Canis lupus familiaris: one gene and its partners. The protein of the gene in region 1 interacts with the protein of each later gene in a biochemical or structural test. Links are inferred from orthologs where the notes say so. Each region holds a gene or a part of one and is shown in the gene's direction. Other genes may lie near its edges. The genes, in order: STAM, ARRB1 and USP8.

Region 1 (4,427 bases):
AATGATCTCTTGCACTTATTTGGTGCTTACTATATGCCAGGCAGGCACTCAAGGGCTTGGTTTGTATTCATCCGTTTGATCCTTCACAACCCTATTATTATTCCTGTTCCTCACGGATAAGAAACTGAGGCGCCAAGAGGTGAAGTAATTCATACCACTTCTTAATATTGGACAATGTTAGTGGTTCACAATACTTTGGTATTATAAAAACAGCGTTTATATCGTTGTTCATATTCTTAAAAAATATCTTTCCCTGCGTGGAACCAGCTTCTCCCTCTGCCTGTGTCTCTCATCAATAAATAAAATCTTAAAAAAAAAAAAATCTTTATGATGAATTCCATGAAGAACTGCTGGGTCCAGAAGAGTTCTCATTTCTGAAAGCTCTTCTAACAGACGTTCAGGGGTGTCCTTTGGGAAGACCCCGTTAACTTAGACTTCAGGCAACAACGTGAGTCCACGATTCCCCACATCCCATTTTAATCCCTGTCGGACAAAAAACGTCATCTTCACTTTTGGGAACGAAGAGTGTTCATTGTGAACGGTGCTTGTAAGCATTCTTCGTACACCGATCCCGTCGATGACAAGTCCTAGACCCTTGTTTTCCACGCTACGCTTCGAGGTGCTCTGATTTAGGTATGATCCACGTAATTCCACTTTGAGCGCAAACGCTCCTCCTCTGTCCAAGCGGGACGCAAAGCGTCTGGGTGCTTTCCTTAAGAAATCCGACACGACGTAGGCACCGCTGGTTAAAACACTCCTTAAAACAACAACAACGACAACAAAACAACAACAAAACACTAAATAAACGTTTTAAGTCCTTGGGAAGCCCTCATCGAGTTCCAGCTCCATCCGCAGCTTTGTTTTGGGATTTTGCTCGGTCTTCGCGGGGAAGCGGGGTTTACCGTAGAGTAAGTCCCAGGGCGTGAGCCGTATTTTCCGAACATCGCCGCCGCTCAGGGACTGCGCGGTTAGTCAGGAGCCTCGGCCTCAGCCAGAGGCGCTCCCGACCGGGCCCCGCAAGCAGGCGTTCGCGGGCCGTCGGGACGCTGCCGCGTTACCTCAGCCTCTCCGGAGTCGCGCGCCCTGACACTCCCCTCCCTCCCCAAGGAGTCGGGCCAACGGGTTCGGCTCACATGACTTCATCCAAGCAAGTTTCTGGTCACCTCAGGCAGACACCGAACTCACGGCTTTTTAACTTCAATACCCCCCCGCCCCCGCGAAGGCGTGTCCCTCCTCCCTCCCTGGGGACCATGAAACGCTCACAGCCCACGGCGTGCGGGGCGAGCACGGGGTCTCGCTCAACGCTCACGCGATCCTCTTTCTTTCTCAGCCTCTGATTCACTCCGGGGCTCGGGGGGCGGCCCCGGCGCGCCTGAAGGACCCCGTCCTCCGGAGACTCCCGGCCGAAGCGAAGGCAGAAGACGCAGGCGTCGCTCCCACTCTCCGGGACGACCGATCGCAAGGGGAGTCAGGCAGACGGGGGCGCGTTGGCGGGGCCGGCTTCGGGGGGCCCGTTCCGGGCAGCTTCTGAGCAGGCAGCGCCGAGGTCGCCCCGGTTCCCGACAGGCTCCGCGCGCGGGAGGGGCTTGTCTGCGCCTCCGCTGTTGCCGCCGCAGCCGCCGCCGCCGCCGCCGCCGCCGCCGCCGCGGTTGCTGGGGGTCTGTGAGAGGTGGGGCTGTCGCCACCCCTGTGGAGTCCGTCCGCGTTGCCGTGTTTGCCCGAGGCAGTCTTCCCGCGCGCGTCGCCCCCGGACTCCCGTGGTGTCGAGGGGGAGTCCCCGCGGACACCCGGGCACGCAGCGGAGATGCCTCTCTTTGCCACCAATCCCTTCGATCAGGATGTTGGTAAGCGCTCCTGCCGCTCCCTGGCCACCCCGCGCGGGAGCGCCTGCCCGCCCTGCCCGCCCTGCCCGCCGGCCCTGGGCGCGCGTGCCCGACCCCCGCCGCGGCCCGCCGCTTCGCCTTCCCCGAGGCTCCGTCCTGAAGACTCTGGAGGAGGCTGGGGGCTTGGCTCGCCCTTTTGGGGAAGAAATGGGACTCGGAGAGCCTGCGAAGTGGGCCTTAGACTAGGGCTGTGGGCTTCGGGAGCCCCGCTGTGGAGAGGGCTGGTGTGGGGGGCCTCGGAGGAACAGCTGGTGTGGCATCTGGGGCTGGGACGGCGCCTCTGCAGGACGGGGAGTGGAGGGCGGAGCAGCAGGAGGTCACCCAGGGGAGGACTATAAGCCCTCCAATAAAGTGTTTCCCTGGACAAATGTCAAACGTTTGGAACTAGGGGGATGTTGTAGGTTAGCTTCCGTAGGGGATTTTAGGATTGATTTATTTATTTATTTATTTATTTTTATTTTTTGCAATTGTAACGGGTGGAGGGAGCTGCTGGCTAAGGGTAGAATCACAAAAATGTCGGGAGAGGTGAAAATGGAATAGTTGGCAACAGCTGAAACCGAACCGGGGACCTGAGCCACTGTGCTGCCTTCTTTAGGCAGTGTCTCAGTATTTCACGAAGTGTGCAAGAGGACCTTAAATCTGGAAGTGCTGCCTTGTTTTAATTTTTCAAATGTCCCTTCTGTTTTGTTTTTCTGTTTTCTGAATCACTGGTTTGGGGTCCTGACCATACCAATTCAACAGGTTAGGGATTCCCCCACCTCCCCACTCTCCTGGGTTTGAGGGTGATAATTACAGACTTTGAGTTTCCTGGAGTAGAATTTTGGGGTGATTTGGATGCACTTAGGAACTACTGTGGCACACAAGTATGGAATGAAAGCAAGCCAGGTACCGTGACTAATTACTATAGTAAAGAAATGTAAGGACACCCTTAGGGAGTTGCGTTTTTTTGTTTTTTTGTTTTTTTTTGTAAGATTTTATTTATTTATTCATGAGACATACACAGAGAGAGAGAGGCAGAGACACGGGCAGAGGGAGAAGCAGGCTCCCATTAGGGAGCCAGATGTGGGACTGGATTCCAGGATCCCAGGACCACGCCCTGAGCCAAAGGTAGACTCTCAACCACTGAGCCATCCAGGCGTTCTGGAGTTGCTTTTTATTATTTTGTTTAATTACAAATGGTAGGTGTTGATTTTTGCTTTTTAACTCTTCCTTAGAACATGTCACTGAGGCTTGGAGGTTTGGGTTAAGACTAGAAAATGGGTTCAGTCCCATCTTGGCCACTGCCTAGCTCATGGTGAGATCATGGGCAAATCCCTGAAGCTCTTTGAGTCCCAGAGTGCTGCTCATCTTTAAAACGTGGGAAAAAACACATTGTTTGTGATTCCGTGAAATGATACATGTAGAGGGCTCAACGAAATAACCTGTATAGTGCCTTTGTAGAGTAGTCATCTAAGTGATAGCTATTTTTGGTGGCAGTTTAAATGCATGGCCTGAATCAGCAGTGGATGGAACTTTAGAGATGGCCAATAATACTTAATAAATAATTGGAAAATTGCGTTTAATTCAGTAAGCACTTAGCACACAGTACAGATGGTCCCCGACTCACAATAGTTCAACTTAACGATTTTTTGACTTTAGTATGGTGCGAAAGGGATATGCATTCAGTAGAAACTGTACTTTGCATTTTGAATTTGGATCTTTTCCCGGGAAAGCCATATGCAGTCGGTATGATCCTCTCTCATGATGCTAGGCAGTAGCACCCACCTGCAGTTCCCAGTCACCCATGCAACCACAAGGGTAAACTACCAGTATACTTGGGCCATTCTGCATTAATACAGGCATTCTGTTTTTTCCCCACTTTCAGTACACTGTGCAATAAATTATATGAGATATTCAACATTTTTTTAAATAAAATAGGCTTTATGTTAGATTTTGCCCAAACAGGCTAAAGTAAGTTTTCTGAGCACACTCTTAAGTAGCCTTAGTAGGTTAGCCTAAGCTGTAATGTAGGTTAGGTGAATTTACTGCAATTTTGACTTAGGATATTTTCAACTTACGTGGGTTTGAGACCTGACCCTATCATAAGTCTAGAAAGATCTGTATTTATAGGAAATTGTCTTAGTGACATCACAGGTGAGTAAGACATGGCTGCTGCTTTCAAGCAATTTTATCACATTACAGTAATTTCTAGGGCAAATGCTTAAAATAAAACAATTTCTTAATACCTCTGTTTTCAGAACTTTTATCTGTTTTTCATAGCTGCATATAATCTAGTTTCTAACTACATTCACTTTTATATTCTACTGCCCTTTTTTTTTTTTTAAAGATTTTATTTATTTGAGAGATACAGAGATAGGGACAGAGATAGCAAGAGAGAGCACTAGCGGGGAGGAGAGCAGGCTCCCTGCTCCTAGCCGGATGCGGGACCCCGGGCTCAGGGTTAAGGATTGGATCCCAGGACCCTAGGATCAGATGCTTAACCGAGTCACCCAGGTGCACTTATCCTACTAACTTTTAAGCACACATTTAAATCAATTTCTTAAT
Region 2 (3,647 bases), on another chromosome or scaffold:
CTGGAAACAGCTGGACCTGACTTCTGAGATAGACTGCCCAGCCCTGCTCTCGTGCCTGTTCCTCCTCAAGGCAGGCCCTGCCCTGTCTTCTGGCGAGGAGGCGAGGCTGGCCTCAGCCCCCCACTCTGATGCACCCTGCCTCCCCAGGCAGCCGCCCGCATTCCTACCGAGCCTGGCTGAGGGTGGCTGAGGGAGGGCACTGCGGCTTCTTAGGGAGTGGGCTGAGTTTGCCACCTGGCGGCTGAAGAGCGTATTGAGCATCTCCATCTCCAGCCCAGGCAACTCCAAGGTGTGGGGAGATGGGACCCTTCTCCCTGGCTTCTCTGTCTTCCTTTTCTTCTTCAGACCTGAGACCAGGGGAAAGATAGGGGTTCGTGGGTTTTTGAAGGGGGCCTGACCGGAGCAAGGAAGAGGAACGACACTGAGGGCCACTGCCTTCACCCTATGCCAGTGTGACATTTTAAGTCCACATCAGAGATACTACTGATAATGATATAGCAGCTATCGTTTATGAAGGGCCTATTAAGGACCAGACACTATTCAGGGTGGTGAACATGTAGGAACTAATTTAATCCTCTCAGCAACCCTGGGAGGTAGGTGTTGCTACTGTTGCCATTTTACAGATGAGGAAACTGAGATCCAGGGGTGAATTTTCTCAAGGGCATATAGTTAGTAAGGGGCAAGCTCAGACCTTCAGCCTGGCTGTCCAGTTCTAGGGGGTGCAGGTGAGAAATGGGGATGCTGGCACACCCAGCACATCGCAGGCACTGCCTCACCAGATCCCATCCCCTCCCAATCCTTGTATCCTCGTTTCTTCCCTAAGCCCCTGTCCCTTTCACTGAGTCCCATCTCATCTCTGGGCCTCCATCTATTCACTGGGTCCCCATCCTTGTCACTGGCCTACATCCCCCTGATTGAATCCACACCCCCTCACTGAACCCCGTCACCTCTCTGAGCCCCCACCTTTTCATGGGGTCCCTCTGCAGATTTTGATTTAATAGATATTTGGAAGGCATTTGTTATATGGCAGGCACTGTCATAGATGTTGAAAACACAGCAGTGAACAATTGAGATAAAAATTTTGCTCCTTAAGGAGCTTACACTATTAAGTAAAGTAAGGGATGTGGGAAGTGAAACATAGTTCCTTTCTCGCCATCCTGCTGGCTGCCAAGGCACAGATCCACATGAGGGACTGCCATGGGGTGGTTCAGCTCCGCTGGTGTGGGAGTTAAGACCGGGACAAGATCAAGTGAGCTGATCCAGGAAGGTTTCCTGGAAGAGGAGGTATTTAGCTGGGTCCTGAAGAAGGAAATAAATGAGGGTAGAAGCAGGAGGAGAGTATTGCAGGCGGGGGTCCGGTGTAAGCAAAGCTGCAGAGACAGGACGAGATGAACCACTGAGGATGATAGTGAGGAAGTGGGGGTGGCTGTGTACACAATGGGGGAGGATGGAGTGGGGCCAGGTGGTGACAAGGCCTCTGTGTCCACCTCTGCAGTTTGGTCTGGATTGTAACGCCGGGGGAGCCATGGCAGTCTCCTGAGGAGGAAAGGGAGGGTTATGAGGAAGGAGGATGGAGGCAGGTGACTCTGGCTATCTTTTGCTCTGCCCATCTCCATTAGGAATTCTGTGCGCCTGGTGATCAGGAAGGTTCAGTATGCCCCGGAGAGGCCTGGCCCCCAGCCCACAGCTGAGACCACCAGGCAGTTCCTCATGTCGGACAAGCCCTTGCATCTAGAAGCTTCCCTGGATAAGGAGGTAGGAGGCTTGGACTTGGCAGGGGGTGGGGGCTGTTCTCCTGGGGCTGGGACATCTCATCCCAGTTCTCTCATGGTCACCAGGGCTCCTGGGGTAGGTAAGAGCTTCTGCCCCCAGTCCTAAGACCACAGGGTTCAGGGAATCTGAGACATCCCTTAGGGGGCTGTGGGGAAGCCTCTGGGGGCCTAAAGGAATGGCAGAGTGGGGCATGAGCCTGAGGGATACAATCGACTTTAGAAGTCAGCGTGCCTCCTCTCTGCCTCTCTCTCTCTCTCTCTCTCTCTCTCTCTCTGTGACTATCATAAATAAATAAAATTAAAAAAAAAAAAAGAAGTCAGCGTGCCTCCTGAAGGGACCTGAGTCTCGGCCGTCTTCCTGCACCCCGTCCCCCTCTTAATGTGTGGGCACTGCCTCTCTCTCTCTCTCTCTCTCTCTCTGTGGATAGCTGAGGGCAAGTGTTGGCCACAGATTTGAGTTGAGGTCCTTCAGTAAGGATTCAGAGCCAGTTCCCTTGGTGAGCAGGCCCGTCTTTCCCCACCTCTCTCTCCTGCTTCTTCTAGGCCCTCCTGTGTCTAGAATTCCTGGCATCCCAAGCCAGCAGGGACTTGATACATCACCTAGTCCAAGTCCTCCAGATGGGGGGAAGCCGAGGCTTAGCCAACCTGTCCAAGGTCACACCGTGTTCATCCTCTTTATCATTATTATAATTAGTGTTCTCATTATTTCTGGTCACCAAGTCCAGACTAGAGCCCAGGAATATCACCTCCTCATTCAATTATCTTTCAAAATCCTGACAAAGAACTGGTCTAACATGCCCAGTGACTTAGCATCAGTGGGAAGTGGCTGATGAACTTGAGGCCAACGTCAGAGTGGCCAAAGTCTGGGGAACCCTAGGATATATGATGGGGCCTCTTCTCCCTCCATCTTTCTGGAGCTTTAGTATCCTCTGGTCCAACCCTTCTCTCTTCTTCTGCCTCCCAGATCTATTACCATGGAGAACCCATCAGCGTTAATGTCCACGTCACCAACAACACCAACAAGACAGTGAAGAAGATCAAGATCTCGGGTACCCCGGGTGGAAGGCCACCCCATGGGGCCAGCAAGAGGGAACTCTCCCAAGGGTTGGGGGTGGCTGAAGGTTCTCCCCTTGTTAACAGCCTTGTAGATAACTATTGGCCCGCAGGAAAGCCCAGGGCCTACTCTAGGCCAAAGGGAAAGGCTTTTGAGGCTAGTAACACAGGCTACTCATTGGCCAGGTAATGAGTTTACTGTTTAAGTCACCTACCCTCTAAGTTCCCTGGGTTCTGGGCAAAGCTGTCCCTGAGGGAGACCTTTGGTGATGGAAGGGAACAGGTGTGTTCGGGCTACCCTTTGTGTGGAAGATGAGGGTGGTCTCTTGAACAATCTCCCAGTGCACTCTGGCCATTCTTGGGGCTGAACATCCCCAACTCAAGGGAGCCTGGGATGCCCGGGAGCTGCAGTCCTGGCTCACACCACCTTGTCTCCCTCTCCCTCTCAGTGCGCCAGTATGCGGACATCTGCCTTTTTAACACAGCCCAGTACAAGTGCCCTGTGGCCATGGAAGAGGCTGAGTAAGTGAGCACAAGCCCATCCTTGGATGTGTGGGTGGGGAAATGAGAAGCCCTGGCTGTAGTTACAGATGCAGATGGTTCTTTTCCACCTGACAGAAGGCTGGATCTCAGACTTCCTTGTCGCTCAGAGTAGATCATCCCAAATAGCCTTTTAAGAAAACACCTGCTTGGTTTAGCTACAAGAAAATACATGCCACAGTCAAGGGACAGACCCATTAAAACTAGAATGACCAAATGAGACCTAATGAATCAAAGGGAACTGGGGTTGTAATTACACTGTACCAGAAACCTAGGTTGAAG
Region 3 (3,647 bases), on another chromosome or scaffold:
ACTCACCACGCTCTGCACTCTTGTTATGGTCGGCTCTCTCATCTGGGTTCCCCACTAGGTCATAAAGTTTGTGAGGGGATTGTTTTCTTCTAGTTCTCTGTTATATCCCTCATGCCTGGCAGAGTAACTTATTGAGTAGACATTCAGTGATACTGTGAAGACAGGAATAAGTAACTGCTACTTGTTTCTGCCTCCAGGATTGCCTTAGATTATTTTCCAAAGAAGAGAAGCTCACAGATAACAACAGGTTTTACTGCAGTCATTGCAGAACTCGACGGGATTCTTTAAAAAAGATAGAAATCTGGAAGTTGCCACCTGTGCTTTTAGTGCATCTGAAACGGTAAACAATTTTTTCTGCCATTTAGATGAAGGAATTCTAAGTCCTTCATTCTAAGTCATTTTGTTGTACTGCCTGCTAAGGATGCATTGCAAAGGAAAATATCTGATTAGGGAAATAAGGCAGAAATGAGGAGACTCTAGTTCCTTACCTTAGTGTTTGCAGTAACAGCAAAATGACTACATGACTCTTTCATGTAATGTCATCTTTTTTTTTTTTTTTCTTTAAAGGAAATTTAATTATTACATTTCAAATACAAAATTTGGGGCAGCCCGGGTGGCTCAGCGGTTTAGCACCACCTTCAGCCCAGGGTGTGATCCTGGAGACCTGGGATCGAGTCCCACTTCAGGCTCCCTGCATGGAGCCTGCTTCTCCCTCTGCCTGTGTCTGTGCCTGTCTCTCTCTCTGTCTCTCATGAATAAATAAATAAAATCTTAAAAATCTATTTAATATATATTTAATATATATTTATGTTTATTATTTATAATATTTATATATAATTTTATATTATAAAATATCAAATGAAAATGTATTTATACAGTATAATACAAATGATTAGCCAATAAAATTTATCAAACAGTAAACTAAAAAAGGATTTAATACTAGGCTGAAAGTGAAATAAAGAATTTTTTAAAGATTTATTTAGATAGTGAATGCTCATGTACAGAGGAGAAGTCTGAGAAGTTTGAGACAGAGTCTTAGATTCCACACTGAGCATGGAGCCCAAAGTGGGGCTCGACCTCATGACCCTGAGATCACGACCTGAGCTAAAACGAAGAGTCAGGCACTTGCCCAGCTGTGCCTTGACTCTTTCTCAGGGGTGCCCTAGGCATCCCTGAAATACAGGATTTAAGTGTAGTCTTAAAGATGTTAAGGATGCCATTGTTGGGTGCAGACATTTTTGTCCAGATTTCTCCAGCCAGTGAAAAAGATCTGGTCCTCTAATAGAGAGTTATAAAACATGTCCTAAGTGTTTTGATTTTTTTTTTTTTTCTGGTCTTTGTATATAATCTATCCATGGAGTGATAACAGTGGGTCATTGTTTGATCTTTTTATTGAGCTGTAATTTTAGTTTCAAGAAAGCACTTCTATTTTAATTATTTGCTTCATTGTATTACTGGAGATTCTTTGGCAGTTATATTTTCAACATTGACGTGTTCAAATTTCTCATGTAAAATTTTTAACAGCAGGCTGTGAATCAGTTTTTGTCTTCTTGAGGATTGTGGAGGTATAAACATTCTATAAATGATTACACATTTGTTCAGTTAAAATTTTTAATGCTGCTTTTACTCTTTGCAGAATATCTGAAAATATAAATGGTTCAGAATTCAGTTTTTGAAAATTCTGATATAAGAGTTCACCAACATACCAGTATTTTGATGTTTAAAGGAGCAGAATATGTCAGGATCATGGAATGCCATTATAGTTCACCTTGCTACCTGAGAGTAGAGTATTCCTGTGAAATCTTTCATAAAGCAAAACGGTGAAAAGCAAAGAAGCAGTTACCATTAATTTATATGGAAAATCTTGAGCATTCCTAAACCCCAAAAATAACCTTCTCTTGGGCCTTTCTGATGCCTTAGGACACATCTTGCAAAGAGATGCACAAAATACGTCAAGGTAAAACACAGATGCCGACAGCTTGATGCTGAGTATTCCGGGAAAGACTTGGTGGTGCCACTCTTGCTGCTCGGCAAGGTGCCTGCTGCCTCTACCAGCTTACTGCAGAACAAATACTGCCAAATGCTATTTTCACTGTTCACCTTTTTTCTTAAAAGCAGAAATCCTCTTGGATTTCTTTTGGTTAGCAAAAACAAGGACTAACGTAAGTCTTCTATTAAAGCAGCGTAATGTCAACTTTTGAAAAGGAGGGGATACCTGTGTAGTCTGTGTGCTTACAGTTTCCAGCTCCAGCTTCCCCAGCAGTAGTCTGTCCTCTGGACATGTGTGGGGACTAACATTATAAACATGGGTCTTTGTAGGTTTTTGGCTTTGTAGAAAACTCCTCTCACAGTTCTGGCTGGCCTAGGGGTCCGGGGACCACGGTAAGATTCGTCTCTACCCCCTTAGCTGTTTGACTTAGGGCAAGTCATTTCATATCTGTGTGCCTCTGTTTTCTTGTTTGTAAAGAGGAAATGAAGCCAGATGTCTTTATAGGTCCTTTCACTACTGAAATTCTGAGTATTTGAAATGGGGTTTATGGTCCTGGCTAAAAGTTTAGACTATCGAGGAATGAACTAGAGTCATTCTGATATTTTTGGTCTGTCAGTATTAATTAATGTCACGTTTTGCTCCGCAGTTTTTCCTATGATGGCAGGTGGAAACAGAAATTACAGACCTCTGTGGACTTCCCATTAGAAAATCTTGACTTGTCACAGTATGTTATTGGCCCAAAGAACAATTTGAAGAAATATAATTTGTTTTCTGTTTCAGTAAGTATCTTGTGAACTAAATATTTTCATATTTTGTTTAGAAAGAAAGAGTTGCAAGTGGTTCCTTCATAGGAAAATAACAGAAAGCTTTGAATTATTTAAAATATGTCAGTAATTTCAATATGAACTGATTGTCCATCTCGTTTGACACAGAATCACTACGGTGGGCTGGATGGAGGCCACTACACTGCCTATTGTAAAAATGCGGCAAGACAGCGGTGGTTTAAATTTGATGATCATGAAGTTTCTGATATCTCTGTTTCTTCTGTGAAGTCTTCGGCAGCTTATATCCTCTTTTATACTTCACTGGGACCACGAGCAGCTGATGTAGCCACATAAGGAGAAGTAGGTTATAAGCTAGTTATCTTTTAAGACGCTGAGCGAAACAACTCGACATACTTATACTGGATAGCTATAGCTGGCCCTTTAGAGGAATTCTAGGACAGTGGGAGCTATGTTATTATCACCATATATTTTAGGTCAGTGCTATTATCAAAAAACTGACTAATAATATTTAACAACTATTGCAGTAAGCACTCCTTACAGGTACCATTTATTTCAAAACCTTTATAGTTTGCTCCAAAGTTAAAGTAATTAACTAGCTAAGCATTATTATTCTACCAGGTCTAAAAACCATTCTATCCTTTTTTTCCTTTTTCACTGTTATGGCCTTTTCACATTTCTAAATCCCAGCTTGATCTATGAATACTCTAGAATGATGTAAAGCAGATAGGAATGTATGTGTATATATTTATTGCACACTTGCACATCAAATCAATGTACATAGTATAATATGTGGTCCTTTTGTGAAGCCTAGAACTCAGAGGATTGTTTGTTTTTCTTTTGGCCTATTCTGAGTAACTGCAGTGCTTTCTTAG

Evidence for each region.
Region 2: the proteins of STAM (region 1) and ARRB1 form a complex in vitro, tested with the Homo sapiens proteins (2 studies listed by BioGRID). The link is inferred for Canis lupus familiaris from reciprocal best matches to the Homo sapiens genes STAM and ARRB1.
Region 3: the proteins of STAM (region 1) and USP8 form a complex in vitro, tested with the Homo sapiens proteins (2 studies listed by BioGRID). The link is inferred for Canis lupus familiaris from reciprocal best matches to the Homo sapiens genes STAM and USP8.

Annotation. Positions count from the first base shown.
Region 1 is NC_049223.1:18,289,227-18,293,653, reverse strand, and holds the start of STAM (signal transducing adapter molecule 1), read left to right. Parts: upstream 1-1,586; 5' UTR 1,587-1,804; coding exon 1,805-1,844; intron 1,845-4,427. UniProt on the Homo sapiens protein: Involved in intracellular signal transduction mediated by cytokines and growth factors. Upon IL-2 and GM-CSL stimulation, it plays a role in signaling leading to DNA synthesis and MYC induction. May also play a role in T-cell development.
Region 2 is NC_049242.1:23,399,587-23,403,233, forward strand, and holds part of ARRB1 (beta-arrestin-1), read left to right. Parts: intron 1-1,619; coding exon 1,620-1,755; intron 1,756-2,736; coding exon 2,737-2,821; intron 2,822-3,274; coding exon 3,275-3,347; intron 3,348-3,647. UniProt on the Homo sapiens protein: Functions in regulating agonist-mediated G-protein coupled receptor (GPCR) signaling by mediating both receptor desensitization and resensitization processes.
Region 3 is NC_049251.1:16,694,741-16,698,387, forward strand, and holds part of USP8 (ubiquitin carboxyl-terminal hydrolase 8), read left to right. Parts: intron 1-197; coding exon 198-340; intron 341-2,636; coding exon 2,637-2,769; intron 2,770-2,922; coding exon 2,923-3,108; 3' UTR 3,109-3,647. UniProt on the Homo sapiens protein: Hydrolase that can remove conjugated ubiquitin from proteins and therefore plays an important regulatory role at the level of protein turnover by preventing degradation. Converts both 'Lys-48' an 'Lys-63'-linked ubiquitin chains.